2 linked regions of the Kluyveromyces lactis genome follow. The protein of the gene in region 2 interacts with the protein of the main gene of each other region in a pairwise test. Links are inferred from orthologs where the notes say so. Each region holds a gene or a part of one and is shown on either strand. Other genes may lie near its edges. The genes, in order: MCD1 and IRR1.

Region 1 (3,863 bases), about 1.2 Mb from region 2:
GCTAACCACGTTCCAACTGTTGAACAATTGGTTCCAGGTGTTGTTGAAGTCTTGGAAGGTTCTTCTTCTAAGAAGTTCTTTGTTTCCGGTGGTTTCGCTACTGTCCAACCAGACTCTACCTTGGCTATCACTTCCGTTGAAGCATTCCCATTAGAGTCTTTCTCTCCAGAAAACGTTAGATCTCTGTTGGCTGAAGCTCAAAAGAACGTCTCCTCTGCTGACGAAGTTGCTGCTGCCGAAGCTGCTATCCAACTTGAAGTTTTGGAAGCTTTGCAAGCCGCTTTGAAATAATTGAGATGAACGAAGAATTACAATTGGACCAAGGTATAATACACTTGATACGGATACTCTACTTGGAAGCAATTGTTTTCCCGGTTGATTGTAAACCTGTCTCGGCGTTTGTATTATCCTTCGTCTGCTTTTTTTTCATTATTCTAATTCCTATTATTCCATTGCACAAGCTTACACAACACAACGACGAATACATTTCATGATTTAGCCTAAAGACCCTTTTTTGTTGCTCCGGTCATTGTCCTTTCTTTCCATACAATACTGTAGTGTGAACGTACGAATAAGACTGGGAACTATTGAGAATTAACCTAAAACGACTATTACTAAAATATACAACGAATTAAAACCCAGCGAATTAAAAGAAATCAGAAGAAATAAATACGATAAAACCTAAAAATTCTAAATGATATGGAGGTTGATACAAGTGATGTCTCGATTCCGTTTCAAAAGGGGGTTCTAGTCTTTGTTTTAATGACCAACAAACATAAATCTTTCTTCAATATACTATTCCTTCCTTTCTAACAATATCAAAGAAAACACTGGATCGATTATAATTTGTCTATCCCCGTTAAAAATATTATCAATTAAGAACCGAATTGAAAGACTTAGATTTTATATTTTTTAGCAGAAACGATTTGTGTGTAACTGATGTCTAGTTTTAAGATTCATATTCATATATACCGATTAAACTGACTGCGCATACTGAGAGAGATGATCTGGTTTTGGCATCAACAAGAGTTAGAAAGGCAGGGTAATAAATGGGTATAAGGTCCTCACTTGTTACCCGGATTTTATACCACGAAATCGAAATTTTTCCGGCGGGAAATCTTTTGAGGTCCCAGAAAAAGACATTGTTTTCCCCCAAAAATATTTTCGCGATTTTTCTCCATAACGCGTTTCCGTGATGAGATCTATAACCAGCAATCCTTTAACAAATATCATTGATAAACACTGGATGAGAAGTATGTCTATTCCATCATATTGATTGCACCTTTACCAATAATTTTATCAAATATATATATTACCTATGGAATTTTAATGTCGTGACCTCTGAAAAAAGACACAGTGCTATTTTATTTCATTTTTATTTTGCTAACCATTCCTTATAAGATCAAGTTCTAATCTCGATCTTAAGTTTATATCCATTTGCTATACCATTTGCAACAGGAACCACGAGCCTTATATCACCTAATCCAAAAATAAACAACGTATATGCCACCAAATAGCAATTCACATACTCAGGTGAGATTAAATACAAGCAATGGGCCGTTGGCTCAGATCTGGCTGGCTTCCAATTTGAGTAGCATCAATCGGAACATTGCAAAGACTAATATCGTGGAATCTGTTGAAGAGATTGCCAAAGCTGCAGGTGTTAATCTAGATGATGAATCTGTGGAACCTATCACATTACGTGCTTCCGGTGAGTTACTACATGGTGTTGTAAAAGTTTATTCTCAAAAAGCATCCTATCTGCTTACTGATATCACAGACTTACTGAGTAAAGTGAAATCTATCTTCAAGGGATCGCTGAACAAGAGCGTCACAATTCAGCTAGATACAGTGGCAAAGTTAGATCAGCTTTTATTGCAAGATGCGGTTACAGAACTTGACGTCTTGGAGATGCCCAGTTTGGATTTCTTGAAAGATATCCAAGTGCCAGAAGGTTTTTTGATCGCTGAACGATCAATGGAAAGACAAGTGCAAGGAGCAGCACCTGTAACATCCGCCATTGCAGCACAACAACAAGCATGGGATATGTCCTTAGAAGTTGGAAGGCGATTCCTGGCAGATGAAGATGATGACTTGAATGCTATTGAACATCACGATTCATCTCATTTGAAATTAGATTTTGACCTTGGTGATTCTAATCAAAGCAATAACACTAAATCATGGGGTGAAGGGACTCGTGTTACTGCTAGTGAAGTAAACGCGGATGATGGAGAAAATGAAGGTGATTTGACTATTAGAAATGACAATGACGATGATGATGAATTGCTACCACTTAACGATGATTGGGATTTGGGATTAAACGATGATGATCAGAATATTTCTGGTAATCAGTCTAGCCATGGTAGCGACATGTCTGTAGAGATCGGGAGAAGGGCTGATATTACTCACTCATTGCATGATGATACACTCTTAGACTTTGATCTAGGGCTGCCAAAGGACACAGAACCAGAGCATCAAGAGCAAGCAGAGGCATACATACCACCTAGAGCAGTAAAGAAGAGGGCACCAAGGAATAAAGCCTTTATCAATGTTAAGAAGGTTCTCATAGATGCTGATGCCGAATTAAACGATTCTGAAGTGAAAGGAGGACCATCGGACTCAATTCTTATCGTTTCTGATGAGACTTCGTCCGCTATATCAAAGAAAAAAAGAGCCATCGATGAATTATACTCTGACCTGGACTTCCTTCCTCAAAAGATTATATCTAATTTCTTCAACCATAAAGCTTCAAAGAAGCCTAGAGCTCTGTCACAATCCAGCCAATCTGATGGGTCCGATGTTGATATAGATATCTCTTTGGGTATCGATGGAAGTTTGGTACACAATTCTGATCCATTCGATCACCAACAAATGGGCTTTGATGCAGAATCAGAAGGACCAGTGTTTGCTGATGATGAACCTCCAGTTCTTGCAGCTGATACATCCATGGAAGAAAATGATTACCAAGCCATTCAATCAGACGAATTTGCCTCTCGTGGGTCAATTGAAAAGGAAAAAAGTCAAAAAGTAGAGCTTGCTACCGGTGAAATCGTGTCTAAATCTACAGTGGAAATGGCAACTCTACTGAGAGATGAAATGAGCTCCGGTGAAGCTACTTTTGATAAAATCCTTACTTCGAAGTACCAGGATAACGCGGTAATAACAAAAAGAATGGCCAGTAAAGCATTCTTTGAGTTACTTTCTCTTGCCACCGCAGACTGTATATCATTGAAACAGAAGGAAACATTTGGACAAATCACAATTTTAGGAAAATCAAACTTATATGAGACGTTTGTTACCGCATAGACTTTTAATTTGGATACTTTTATAACGGACATTATGTATAAATAATTAATAATATCTGTTTTTTTAAGTTGGTTTAAATATACATGACGGCAGATCAGTTCAAGTTGTTGTGCTATTCGATTTCTTCATTTGGTTGTTGCTGTTGTTGCTGCTGCTCCAAGTATTCTTGTATTGATAACTGGTTAATGTGTTGTAAAAGCTCCTCATCAGCGAACCTGTTCATTTGGGATATTTCTAGATGTTTACTATCAATTAGTCCTTCGATTGTTTCTACTACATACTCACTTTCTCTATCATGTGGTTGTGGTGGTAGTACATCGAATTCAAACACAGAATGATCTGACCAAATTTCTTCGGGAATAGCAGCCATAACGGATGACTCTTGAGAAAGAATAGCAAACCTTAACAAATTAATTGGAATGTTATTGATGAAGAATGATGTTGGCGCCACGTCGTCATCATCATCGCCATCATTTATATCCTTCACTGCATCAGTGTCAAACGAAGTGGAATTAAAAATGCTTGCTAACTCATCAAGTAAAAACTTCTTAGCTTCC
Region 2 (4,541 bases):
TATCTGCTACTGATTTTCTTTCAAGGGTTGCTCGCTGTCATATATATTTTTGATCCTGAAAAAATTAGACGCTTGTCCCTGAAAGACAAATAAAAAAATACTAAACTACTCAAAGAAATATTTACGATAAGAGGGTCTACAAGGACTTTGCTCATTCGGTTTCCAGAGCCACCGTATCCATCAAAACTTTACCATTGAAAATAATGTCCGAAAATTGTCAAGAGCTTTGTCTTAGAATTGATCCCGCTTCATGTGGATTTACTAAAGATGATCATGTTATTATCACCGGGGATTTCGATAATTGGAATCCTGGTCAGTACACCTTGAATTATGATTCAAGCACAGGCTACTTTATTGCCCATTTGCCGTACGATGGCTATAGTGAAACGTTCGTCTGTAAGTTCGTTGTCAACAACGAACATTGGAAAGCTTTGAGCTGTTTCGATAAATATATAGATGATATGGGTCACGAAAACAATTTAATCCATTGCAAGGCTTGGTTGGAGACTGAAGAAATGGTTGCTGATATTGTAATGGAAGATGTGGAATTGGATTTAAAACCTTTTAGATCTTCTATGTCACCTTCAGATCTTCAGATCGATCAGTTAGCAATCACTAGGCCAAGTAGCGAACAAGATTACATACACGTAACTTCAAGAGGTGAATTAAGCTCATCTGAGGACGTGGAATTAGATCCGAGAGTAACACAAGGTACAATTGATGATATTTTGGTAGATGATATTGACGAACAACAATCTCAACAAACTCTACTACAGGCAAGCTACTCTGATCAAAATGCCAAATATCCATCTTCATATAATCCGATACACGGACTCGTCGCAACTTTAAGACGTGCAACCACTTACTGGAAACGTTGATGGTTAATTTTATGCTATTTCTTCTTTACCTATTCTCCTTCTAATTGATTTTTCTTCCTTTCACGCTAATATACACTGCTTTTTGCTCAACTTCTTCTATCCAGTAAAAATCTTCTGAACACATATTCATCAAACTACAATAATTACTATTTAAACCTCGTGCTATTTCTCTTCTTTAATTTATTTAGCCTCTAACTTCTTTTTTTTCTCAGGATGTAATACAGTCTGTCGGTTTAAATCGATTACGACGATTGCTTCAAAACACACTCTCTTCCCATGCTTTGGTAGCCTCAAATGAAAGCATACAAAAGTCATCTCATTTGAATGAAAATTGCTCTTAGATAAAGTTCATGGATGTCTTCGTAAAACAGGTCATTTAACTTTAGATAGAGAAATTGATATAGGTCTGTGATTTAACAATGTAACACTGTTGTTTCACTTCTTAACACAGCTGCCGTTATTAGGCCAAAATATAATACTTACATTTTACATGGATTCGAGTAAAAAAACGCGTCGCGTAAATCTAAAAAACTATATGTATGAAAGTAAAAAAAAAGAGGCGACGAACAACAAATCAAGGAAAAAAACAGCTCTCACTCATAGTACATTAACAACAACAGTCACTTACTAGAACCATTCAGCCTCGTTCCACTGTCTACCTATGCCAGTGAGAAGGTCAACCAGGATAAGGACCAAATCCTCTTATAGTGAACAATCTGGATCAGAATCGGACTCTGAGCACGAAACTATAGGATCCATTGTCACCGACGATCGAATAAATATCGAAAACACGGATAATCAGAAAGAAGAAGAAGCTTTATCACAAGGTTCTAGTAGTTCAGAAGAAGACGATGACGCCAATGATGACGACTATGTTGCCCCTGGCTCCAGAAAAAGACCAAATTCCGGAGGTAGGCGCGTTGCAAGCAACAAGAGAACGAAATTAAAACAAAACGAGAAAGGCCGACCATCTAATAATATATCCAGTGCTGTTTCAAGAAAAGAACAGGAAGCATACATATCATTGCAGAATGAATTCAAACCCACAGAGCTTTTTGAAATTCTAAGCAGCTCCGACGATTTTTCTTGCGAAGAACTTGCCAGTGACTGGTTGGATTCCTATATAGATAACCGAAATGTCAGCTTAGCGAATCTCATAAATTTCTTATTAGATTGTTCTGGATGTTTCACTCATATTGGTGAACACGATGTAGCTAATAATGACTCTTCGAATGAAACAATAGGGGAAATACAAATTATGTTCCATGAGCAAAAAAAACATGAGTTCCATTTATTACTATCGGCAACACACAAGAAGGCAAAGTTCCGTCCTTTGAATGATAATTTTAACATTTTCATGACCACATTAATGGACCTAGCCATTGAGAAAGAGATGATATATGTTGAGAATGAAAAAGAAGAAAGTGACGAGATTGTGATCGAAACAAATCCATTAATTATTGACTTACTTACATGGATACCTTCCATGTCAGTATCAAAAATACGATGTTTGCGATATGTTTCAGCTAAAGCCATCTTCTGTTTCCAAGATTCTCTCGCACGAGCTTCTGCCAGCTTAGAAGCAGAGGTGTTATTTAAACTGAGGAAACAGTTGACACTGGAGAGAAAAAAGAAAAAGCCCAAGTCCAAAACTATGGAGACGCTAGAATCTTCTATTTCTGATGCTGAAGCTACGAAAACTGTGATAGAAAACACTATTGATAACATAATAAAGCTCTGTTTTGTTCATCGTTTCAAAGATGTAGATGAAAATATCAGATCCCTTGCGATATCCTACTTGTTAGATTGGATTGAAAACAATCCAGACTACTTTTTTAAGGTAACCTTCCTCAAATACTTCGGTTGGTTGCTATCTGATAGCAGTAATTCAGTCCGGTTACAAGTTATAAGGTCCCTTCATGACCTAATTAAGTTCTCCAATAAGAGAAACAAAAATACTGTCGATAACGCTGCCCTAAGACAATTTTTCGAAAGATTCAAAGATCGAATGTTAGAAATAGCTGGCAGAGACATCGATATTCAAGTAAGATTAACCTCAGTTCAAGTACTTTCGTCGATTAATGGGTTGGGTTATCTGGATGACCATGAAATAATAGACATCATTAGCTTGATCTTTTTTGATCATGAAGTAAAAGTATCTTCTTCGTCAAGGGACGTTAAATTCTTGAACGAGGTTACCAAATTCTTGGCAAACATTGTTTCTGAAAAAACGGAAGAGTTTCTAATAAACAATGAAAGGTTTAAGGTTCCGGTAATTTCGGTAACGGAAGAGCAGTTTGTTAAGGTGGGTGTGTTAATGAGATTATTACACAATTCATTGTTAAATCATATCAACTCCACTAGTAATTTAGAAGGTTATGCAAAAGTACCACCGGACAAAATCAAACTCTTACAGCAAGCGGCGGAATTTTTATCCCCCAAGTTTTACAACTTAATTGAAACTATATCAAAACTACTCTATGAAGAGGGAAATTTCGATGGCAGCACAATTCATGCTGATGCAGATGATTTTTCCAATGATCTGGGTGATATCAAATTGTTCCTACCAGAAACTGATAACAATGTCCTATTTTATGCCACTGTGTTGGGCGGCTTATGCACAGGCGGCATACAGTACAACAAAGGCCAGGACAGACAAGCCGTGACACAGTTAATTCTTCCAGAGTTAGAAGATCTTTTCAAGAAAATGAATCTTGATTCTGATCAGATATATACTCAACTACTAAATGTAATACAGCTATTAAACACAGAAGAATGGAATTCCAGTGAATCAAAGGATGTCATTTTTAATATCAATAAAACAATAACAAAACGATTTGAAAGCTCTCCAGTGGTTTTGAGCAACGCAAATGCCATTACTAAAACCTATAAGAGTTTAATTCCATATTTGGCATCCCTTCAAATACCAGAGGTAACTGGTTATTGGAAGTCATGTCTGATTAACGTGACATTATCATTCAAGAAGTTTATGGAATCATTTGACATAAAATCTGATAATTCAATAACAACATTATATCTGCAATATGTTAACAAACTTGTAATTTTGGGTAAGGAGTTCGCAATTGAAATTTCAGAAACGCTTTTGGATGACATTGTTGAAAAATTCTTGAAGCCGTTGAGTGAATTACTACCAAAGATTGATTCGGATGCCATATCTGTCCTAGATTTTAAGCTTTTCACCTCAATAGTTACTTGGAATTTAGCAACTTGGAGAGATGTTATCAAAAATAATGAAGAACCTATAGCTGTTTCACATACTACGCTGAATCAAATTAGAACGGTATTAGTCGAATTGCTGAATCTTTCTTCAAAGATCGATTCTAACCCTGAAATACAACACGACAAGAAATTCCATGTGCTTCATGTAATACTCTCTCCATTGTTAGATATTATCATTGCATTCAAAATGTTTGAGCTCGATTTGTCAGAAAAGGATTCCGATTGGATAAGGGCGTTAAGGCAAGAATATTCAGTTATCTCTAACGAAGATCTAACTGGTATTTGCCACAAAGTTTTCCTCTACCTTGAGAGTTGTCTTGGAAAATTTTTGGGAATAACTCTAGATCGAGTGGCTGATGAAGATGTAAATTATGGCGCTGTCAACTTAGTCGATGTTGATGGAGATCCAGAGAAGGAGCTTTG

What was found.
Region 1: the proteins of IRR1 (region 2) and MCD1 interact in binary tests that used the Saccharomyces cerevisiae proteins (3 or more experiments, as listed by UniProt). The link is inferred for Kluyveromyces lactis from reciprocal best matches to the Saccharomyces cerevisiae genes IRR1 and MCD1.

Annotation. Positions count from the first base shown.
Region 1 is NC_006042.1:1,366,691-1,370,553, forward strand, and holds MCD1 (kleisin alpha), read left to right. Parts: upstream 1-1,503; coding exon 1,504-3,306; downstream 3,307-3,863. Other genes in the region: ATP16 (F1F0 ATP synthase subunit delta), read left to right, coding at 1-291; RQC1 (Rqc1p), read right to left, coding at 3,419-3,863. UniProt on the Saccharomyces cerevisiae protein: Cleavable component of the cohesin complex involved in chromosome cohesion during cell cycle. The cohesin complex is required for the cohesion of sister chromatids after DNA replication.
Region 2 is NC_006042.1:2,572,719-2,577,259, reverse strand, and holds the start of IRR1 (cohesin subunit IRR1), read left to right. Parts: upstream 1-1,539; coding exon 1,540-4,541. Other genes in the region: ATG45 (Atg45p), read left to right, coding at 204-878. UniProt on the Saccharomyces cerevisiae protein: Component of cohesin complex, a complex required for the cohesion of sister chromatids after DNA replication. The cohesin complex apparently forms a large proteinaceous ring within which sister chromatids can be trapped.